Linked DNA regions of Danio rerio. The protein of the gene in region 1 interacts with the protein of each later gene in a biochemical or structural test. Links are inferred from orthologs where the notes say so. Each region holds a gene or a part of one and is shown on either strand. Other genes may lie near its edges. The genes, in order: snap23.1 and stx4.

Region 1 (3,828 bases):
TATTATGTTGCATACTAGGCATGGGACGATAACCGTATTCAGGGTTTACCGCGGTTTGGAAAAGTCAAGGTTTTAAAACCGCCAAAATTTTCAGCTATACCATTCCTAAGGTATGTGTAAGATTCGTTTTGTTTTTTAGGACAACAGTATCTCCAGCAGAAAAGATATCCAAAAATGACAATTTAAATGGTAAAGAAAAATGTGTTTTTGAAACAAAATAAGACAGAAAAGTCAGTGACTCGTTTGAGTTATTCAGCCCGACATGTTTACTGCTCCAAAATATTATAAAGGTTTCTCAAAATAAATTATGTTGTGTTCAAAAGGGAAAAAACATGTTTTTCTATCCCGACATTTAAAAAGAATATGTTTTAGAACAGTAATCATAATACTGTTATACCGTGAAACTGTGATATTTTTATCCAAGGTTATCCCATGTCCCATTCCTATTGCATGCATCGACAAAGAACCTTTTCAGCCCTGGTAGACATATCTATTAAATCCAGAGAATTTTCAGTTGGTCTTTTAATTTCTTTATACAGAGCTGTATGTAGGCAAGATTGTGGTTTGGACAGAGTTGGGTGTAAGGCGTTCCACAGTAACGCGTAACTATTCCAAATACCATTTTTGAGGAACGTAGTAATGTAACGAATTACATTTTAAATTAGTGTAATTTGATTACAGTTACTAAAGTCAATGTATTTGTGTTACTTTGCGTTACAAATATATATTTTTAAAGAAAAAAAATGCATCGTTTAAATCACGTTTTCCGCTACGTCAGTTAATTTGCATGCACTTTTAAATAGCTGGAGAACGCAAGCTGAAATGGCTGCTGTCGAAAGTGTTTGCTTCTTCAAGTGGAAATACTGACATTACTTTGATTTCATTGAGCGTAAAAAGAAAAATATTGCTGTGAAATGCAGACTATGTCCAGAACTTTTAACTGCTTTTAACTCGACCAGCAACTTGTTCAAGCACTTAAATAGAAAGCATTCTATGACAATATTAGTCACCAAGGAGGACACTGGCGCCCCAAAACACGGCGGCTCAACTCAGCCTAAACAGGTTCACATATTGCATCTTTTGCGCGCACTTATTGGGAGCACATATTGGATGCGCGCATATTGGAAGTGCGCTCACATTTCCCAGGTGCACCAGATGAAAACCACGAGTCACGAGACAAGAACTGACCGATCAGCTTCATACTTTGGAATATACACATTTAGGTAGACTTATCATTTTAGAGCAGTAATTACAATATCGTGAAACCGTGATATTTTTATCCAAGGTTATCATATCATACCTTACACCGGCCCATGCCTAGTTGTATGTTAATAGTGGTGCAGTCACTTACCGCCCTGCTCATCCAGCATGGTCATTGTTTTGACCCCCGTCTCCCGACTCTGAAAATATACAGGTTTATATAAAGTTAAATATCGTATATGAACTCGAATGAGCAAACAAATCATGCTTTTAATGCCACTGGTGCGCTTACCTCCTCTGCCATCTGCAACATCCGCCTAGTGCTTTCAAGTGACTAAACAAAAATGACAAAAAGAATAATAATAAATAAATAAAAGACATATTCAAAATGTAGTCAAATCATGACAGTACAGTGACACAGAAAACTACTGTGCTGAACATACATTTGCGTTCTGCATGCAAACATCAAACTATGTGTACCTAACACTGCAGCATGCCTTTGGCTCATAAAGTCACATAGTGTGAGTTGTATTCAGTAGGAAAATAATACAAACCTGCTGGTGAATACAGAAATGAATAGAAATATGAAAAGCCAAGATAATTCTATGAAGCCATGCAAGAATCACAGGACATACACACGAACACAATGTGAAAGCAGACTGGAATGATTGTGAAATTATTTTTATTATTGTAATTAAATTAAATTCAAACTTCTACTTTAATGTTTAAAAATTACTAAACAGTACATAAAGTTAAATACCTAATTATCACTTATGTGCTATAAAAAATAAATTATAAATCTATTTATAAACACACAACAGTTCTGTCTAGTTATTGAATCTGATTGAGTGATAGCCGTGCGATATTTTGCAATAACAGCCTTCTTCACTCTTCTGTGTTACTCCACCCACATAGGGTGACAGCATAATAAACTCATTACAGTGACAAATATTGCAGCTGTTGGACAGCATAATGTATTTTTGAGGCTTTTTTAGGCAAGAATGTAGTTGTTTAGATTGCATCTATGCAGTTTATTTATAAGGATAGGGCCTATTTTAAATATTTTTAATTTCGGAGATTGGCAGGCATCAGCCTGTTATATTGAGCAAAGCAAAAACAGTTGCGGCAGAAGATGGCAACAGAGACCACATAAATAGTCCTTAGGGAAGAAAACCCAGCGTTTTCATTTTAAATTTCAAACTACAGCTGATCAAATCATTATAAAACAGGTGAGTGACATTCTAAGTTGATCTCTTTTTTTTGTATGGTTTAGTGCTGTATTTATACCACATATCTCCTGAATGCAGAAAAATACTGGGAAATCTCTTTAGACTGATGGCATTTCATGCCGCTCAACAGCCAGATCAGAGCAAAATCACCTGTTTTGTCTTCACTTTAGACATTACTCAAGAGAATCTTTCAAACACTAGCTCTTACGTGACGTTTGTGAAGTAGCAACAGTTTCTGCCGTTCTGACATCAGCTGCAGATGTGAATGAATTGCAGAAGAAAGTAGTTCCTCTAACAAAAGGCTATACACTCTGCGTGTTTGATTTTCCTTTTTATACACACGATTATGCCGTCGAACTGTTGTATAAACCAAATTCACATGAGTAGCAGTGCAATATGACTGTAGTCACTGGTGGGACACACGCCTCCCACCAGTGCCAATATACAGCCATATTGCACTGCTACTCATGTGATACTGCTCATAAAAAAGTGTGTGTGTGTGTGTGTGTGTGTGTGTGTGTGTGTGTGTGTGTAGGAGGTAGGGTAGGAGTGTTTTAATAAAACAAAATCTCTAGTTTACCCCCAGTCACCCATGCTGATGTCTTTTTCATGCTATTAGTCTCTATTACAGCACACAGGCTCAAGTGAATTCCTTCAGAGGCAGCAAGGAAGAGAAAGAGAGAACAAAACAGTTATGAGTAAAGTAAGAAAGGAGTGAGTTATTGTTACCTGAAGATTTTAGTAGCAGAGAATCACATATTCACAAAGTCAACAAGAATAAACTCATATTTTAGGACACTTAGTGCAAGAAAAATATGATTAGGAAATGCAGCACTGAAAGAGAAGAGTGAGTGATAGGCTTTACTCTCACAAACAATGAGTCTGCAAATATACAGGAACTTGAACGTGTTGTGTTTTGTTTTTTTTTTTTTTTTTTTTTTTTAGGTGTAAAGTTTCTTCATTGTTTTCTGTTTGTTATTGAACAGATGACAGGCGTACCTCATCTGTAACTTGGTTGGCTCTCATTGTGATATCTTCTACTGTCATGTCGGCCATCTTGCTGGTGTCCAAGTTCGCCTCTCCTCCTGTGACCTTAAGTTCCACGCTCTGGGGTCTGAAGGCAAAGGTCAAAGTTTAGAGGCCATTGAATCAAACACAAACGAAGATGCCCACAGAAAAAGCTTTCCCTACTACCTGGAATCTGAAGGAATTCTGTCATCGTTACCCAGCCTGATGTTCATCAAATAAAATGTTTAATGTGAAGCTCTGGAGAGGACTATAAATGTAGTCCTTATTTGTAATTATTTCAGTCTTCGGGCTGTTTTGTGACAATGATTTTAAGTAAAGCATTTTATTTTGGTTGTTCATTGACATTAACCTAAAATGCTAACTTTTGAAA
Region 2 (4,604 bases), on another chromosome or scaffold:
GGCCTTACAGTGCATTAAAAAGATGGCTTTGTAAGAATGCTAATAAGATCAATGAAAAAAAGCACAGCAGAATAAGCACATACTGATTTTGAGTTGTCTTTTAATCCTCTCCACATTTCGGTCTCTGTATTGGGCTTGAATTGTATTACAGCGACCCATCAGTTCCAGGAATTCACGGGACAAAACACCATGCTTTCAAAAAATGATGAGGAGACATACAAGATCAGATTATTCTCAGGCAAAACAACACTGTTTAAGTTTAATTATTTATTAAAACATGAAATATAAAAGCAACTGACCTGAGTTCTCCTCATTCTTACATTCACTGGGATATATTTTTCTTCAACTTCCAATTTCTTAGGTTCAAGACCTATGATGTAAATGAAGTGATTAATTTTTCACATTTGTTAGGTTGAGCAGAAAAGTTTGATTGTCAAAAAAAAAGCTTCATTTATAAAATTTTATTTATCAGTCTCACTTTTTAATTTCTTTTGGATCTGGCTGGCCATCCCTTTGATGTCTTCTCTGAGTGACTGCAGTTCCTTTTTCATACCTGTGCTCAAAGAAAAATATAATTTACTCATTCACTCACTATCCTTTAACTTACTCTCTTCATAATTATTAATTAATACACACACACAACATAAGATTATGTAAATGAATAATAAAAAACCCAAGTGAAAGCTAAATTACTTACTGTCCTCTGGAAGTGCAACTCCTAGCACTGTTTTCTGCTTGTTCTCCAATTCGGAAACCTTTCTCTTAAGAGTTTCAAGTCCCTCTCGAATCTCCTGAACCTACATAGAAAAAAGAAAATATATTTTTATGTCAAGTTTCAATGCAAACTTTCCAAGCACAAATGTTATGGAATTCAAGTGACCCAAATGTAATTTATGTGTAATGTTTGACATTACATGAAGTTTGCACAAACACTAAACAGCTTCATTCCTTTATTACTGTTTGCATGTGCATGTTCCTAATCTACGGTGGTGGAGAGAGAGCTCAAATGTACTGTAAGCTAAGATATGCATATAGAAAAACCAAACTAAGAAAATGTGTTCATTCGTTTGACAATATGTGTAAGCAAATTCTCACAACACATGCACATATGCAAAGAGCACATGACAGAAATGTGTCAGGGAACCCCAAAAGAGACAAACCCAGCTACTTCCTGTTTAGAGCCTGTCAGGGTTGCTGTCTGATGGTTATTTTAATGTCCTGGTCGTAAGGTTCCTTGTTGTTTGTACATTTTTTGCATTAATAATTGATAAAAAATGCTTTTTTATTGGTGTTTTTTGTTGGTGCAGTACATTTGAGCGCTCTCAGCCACCGTACTAATCAGTATTTGTGAGAAACCTGCAGTGTAGAAAATCACAGTTCAGAATTGCAGGATTTCTAAATTATATTATACAAGAACCAACAATACACACTTCAGTTCAAAAATCATTAATTACAGAAACAACATGCTACTTCTGTACAGATCCCTAAAACTAGTGCATAAAAGTATTGAAAGTTGCAGTTAAAATGAGAGCAATCGTGCTACAATGACCTTTTTAAAGAAAGCTTCATTTTCTTTGTCTTCATTTGCTGAGGTTCCAGATCCAGGCTTTATCATTAGAGCTACGGTTTCTTCATCTTCATCTGAGGCATCAGCAGTCTAGTAAAAGAGTACACAATACGACACTGAATATAGTTAAGAATATTGTTATTAATAAATTTTTATATTGTATGTTATCATATTTTAAAAATATTACCACCATACAAAGTGCAAGACAGTGTTTCTGCAGCTTAGATAAAGGTAAATAAGGTTAGCAAAATATCTATTTTAAATAATACCTCAAAGTTTAAAAAAAAGTAAACAGATCTGTTATTTCTAAACTTACAAAAAAAAGTCAAAACTGAATAGCCATTAAAAATGTTACTCTTCTCATCACATTACAAAAAACATCTTCCACTATATTCGTCGTTTTGCAAATGTGTGAAAGTCTTAAATCAAGATATATTTTACATTTACTTGACATGTTTTATGAAAAATATATATTTGAATTTAATTAATTTAGGATTACACAAAAAGTAGCTTTAAGGAAAAACACGTTAACATGACAGATAGTGTGTTTTATTGTGTGTGAATTTATTAACATTATAGTTTTTTTGCTTTTACAGGAAAACGAAGTAAAAACCATATACAGGAGATTCATATTTTTCAGTATGTGCAACATTTAGTGTAAAAACTTTGTGAAATTAACCCTTTGTGACTCTCTTTGGGACATTTAAAGGTATTTGTTTGTCGAAAGGCAAATGTAGTCCCACAGAAGAAACTGCAACAACACAATTACGTGAAAAAACAAACGGATGATAATAAACCTTTATTGCCGAGCGAATGACAGTGTATTAATAATAATACAACTAAAAGTTAAGTACCAATTCAACGCTTAACTTTCTTGTGAGAAAAACTAAAATCAATATTCAAATGCAACCATTCATGGCAGCTGTATTTATTTGTAGGCTAAATAAAGTTACACCCCGTTTACCCAAGAGCGCTGGTGCTGCAAGAGGGTGTTAGCCTACCGTTCGTGGACTTTAACCATATATTTTTCCAACACAAGAAAATAAGCCACACAACTATAGATTGTGACTCGTTACAATCCTTGAAGGAGTTAATAAATCGCAGTCGAGCCAGTGGTGACAGTAGTTACATCCGCTGAATAACATTAGCCCGTTAGCCAGTTAGCCGGTTTCCTGCGTGCACTGCCCTGAAATTACTCACATTGCCCAGTTCTTTGGTCCGGTCCCGCATTTTCGATGTATTTTATGGCCAGCTCAGATGAAATGTTCCCGTTTTTAAGAGGTGTAGCTCATCTGTCTCCTGACCATAAACTTGCAAAACTCACAACAGATAAGAGGGAGTTTCCATTGAAAGTCACATTTCACGCCAGCCAACTTCCACAAATAACTTTCAGAGCAGAATATTGATGGACGCTGAGAGATGCTGTGTATATCTATGCTATATGGATAAACTCTGGTTATGTTTAGAGATCAGTGTGGGGCGATGTCGCTGTATATGACTTTACCGTTTTCTTCTTCTCTATCAGTTTGCGGATGTCTGACAAATCCGTCAAGGCTCTTACTGCCCCCTACTGAGCGACACGACTGAGGCTATTTAAGGAAGCCAATTTCCGCCAGAGAATAACAGTTTTTATCTTTTCCCGCTTTTTGTTTCAGATTTCTGAGATTTAAAATCAAAATTTCGAGTTATAAAGTCAGAATTCTCAGACATAAAGTCACAACTGTGTGATATAAAGACATAATTTTCACATATAAGTCATAAAGTCAGAACTCTAAGTTACAATTCAGAGATTAAGTTACAATTTAGAGTTATGAAGTCAGAATTCTAGGATAAAGTCACAATTCAGAGATATAAAATGTCACAATTCTGAGTAAATAAATAAAGCAAGAATTTTGAGATATACTTCACAATTACAGGTTTTGTCAGAAATCTGAAATATAAAGTTGCAATTGTGCGATATAAAGACAGCATTCTGAGATATATGTCACAATTATATAAAGCTATTACATAAGAGTTATAAAGCCAGCTATAATTAGCATTGCCGGCAGCTAGCCCTCTGCAACTCTCATGGTTGAGCAGGGCTGCGCCAGGTCAGTTCCTGGATGGGATACCACATGGGAAAGCAACTGTAGGTTATTGCCACAAGTGTGTTAGGGAGACCAGCTCAACCTGCTGTCTGTATGTCTCCTAACACGCCGGTACATTAATATACTGTCAGTGAGTCCTGTCTTTCAGATGAGATGTTAAACCTGACTCTCTGTGGTCGTTAAAAATCCCAGGATGTCCTTTGAAAAAAAAGAGCAGGGGTTAACCTCGGCATCCTGGCCAAAGCTGCCTACTAGCCTCTGTCCATCATGGCATCATAACTCTATCTCCACTCCACCAATCAGCTGGTGTGTATTCTGGTGCAATATGGCTGCCGTCATTCTGGTGGATGCTGCACAATGGTGGTGGATGAGGAGATTCCCCCACCCCCCAAAAAATGTGTAAAGTGCTTTGAGTGTCCAGAAAAGTGCTATATAAAGTTAAGGAATTATTATTAAAATTCTGAATGCAATAACTACTTCAAAAAAATTACTCAGTGGCGAAAACGGGCTTACATATCCACATGGGTGCATCACTCAGTAGGGGGCAAAAAGAATCTGAGTTTTGAAGTCAGAATTGCGAGTTTTAACGGATATCAGATCAGTAATTGTATAAAGAAAGAAAAGAAAATCGAAAGCTGGAAATCATAAACCTAAAAATAGATTTGACAGGAAGAACCAAAACTGGAGATTTTAAAGTGATGACATGAAGAAGTTTTTGCTTCCCAGAAGAGCATTATAGTGAAAAGTCTTTCAAAGTACCATTTTAGTTTACTGATTAGCATGTAAACACATACAAACCCAACAATTAGATTTTTTTTTATAGCTCTGCGCTTTGCGGTTTTAAGCCTCCTTGTTAGAGCAATCGAATCCCATGCGGAAGGTCGCCGGTTCGATACTAGCTTGGAGCGGATTGGGTGGCGTGGAACTGGCAAGGTAACATAAACAGAAAC

The links.
Region 2: the proteins of snap23.1 (region 1) and stx4 form a complex in vitro, tested with the Homo sapiens proteins (4 studies listed by BioGRID). The link is inferred for Danio rerio from reciprocal best matches to the Homo sapiens genes SNAP23 and STX4.

The regions. Positions count from the first base shown.
Region 1 is NC_133192.1:35,124,449-35,128,276, reverse strand, and holds part of snap23.1 (synaptosome associated protein 23.1), read right to left. Parts: intron 3,544-3,828; coding exon of another isoform or gene 3,486-3,543; coding exon 3,429-3,485; intron 3,082-3,428; exon of another isoform or gene 1,535-3,081; coding exon 1,493-1,534; intron 1,401-1,492; coding exon 1,352-1,400; intron 1-1,351. UniProt on the Homo sapiens protein: Essential component of the high affinity receptor for the general membrane fusion machinery and an important regulator of transport vesicle docking and fusion.
Region 2 is NC_133187.1:22,373,820-22,378,423, reverse strand, and holds the start of stx4 (syntaxin-4), read right to left. Parts: upstream 2,952-4,604; 5' UTR 2,798-2,951; coding exon 2,768-2,797; intron 1,658-2,767; coding exon 1,550-1,657; intron 798-1,549; coding exon 698-797; intron 554-697; coding exon 479-553; intron 371-478; coding exon 300-370; intron 193-299; coding exon 84-192; intron 1-83. UniProt on the Homo sapiens protein: Plasma membrane t-SNARE that mediates docking of transport vesicles. Necessary for the translocation of SLC2A4 from intracellular vesicles to the plasma membrane.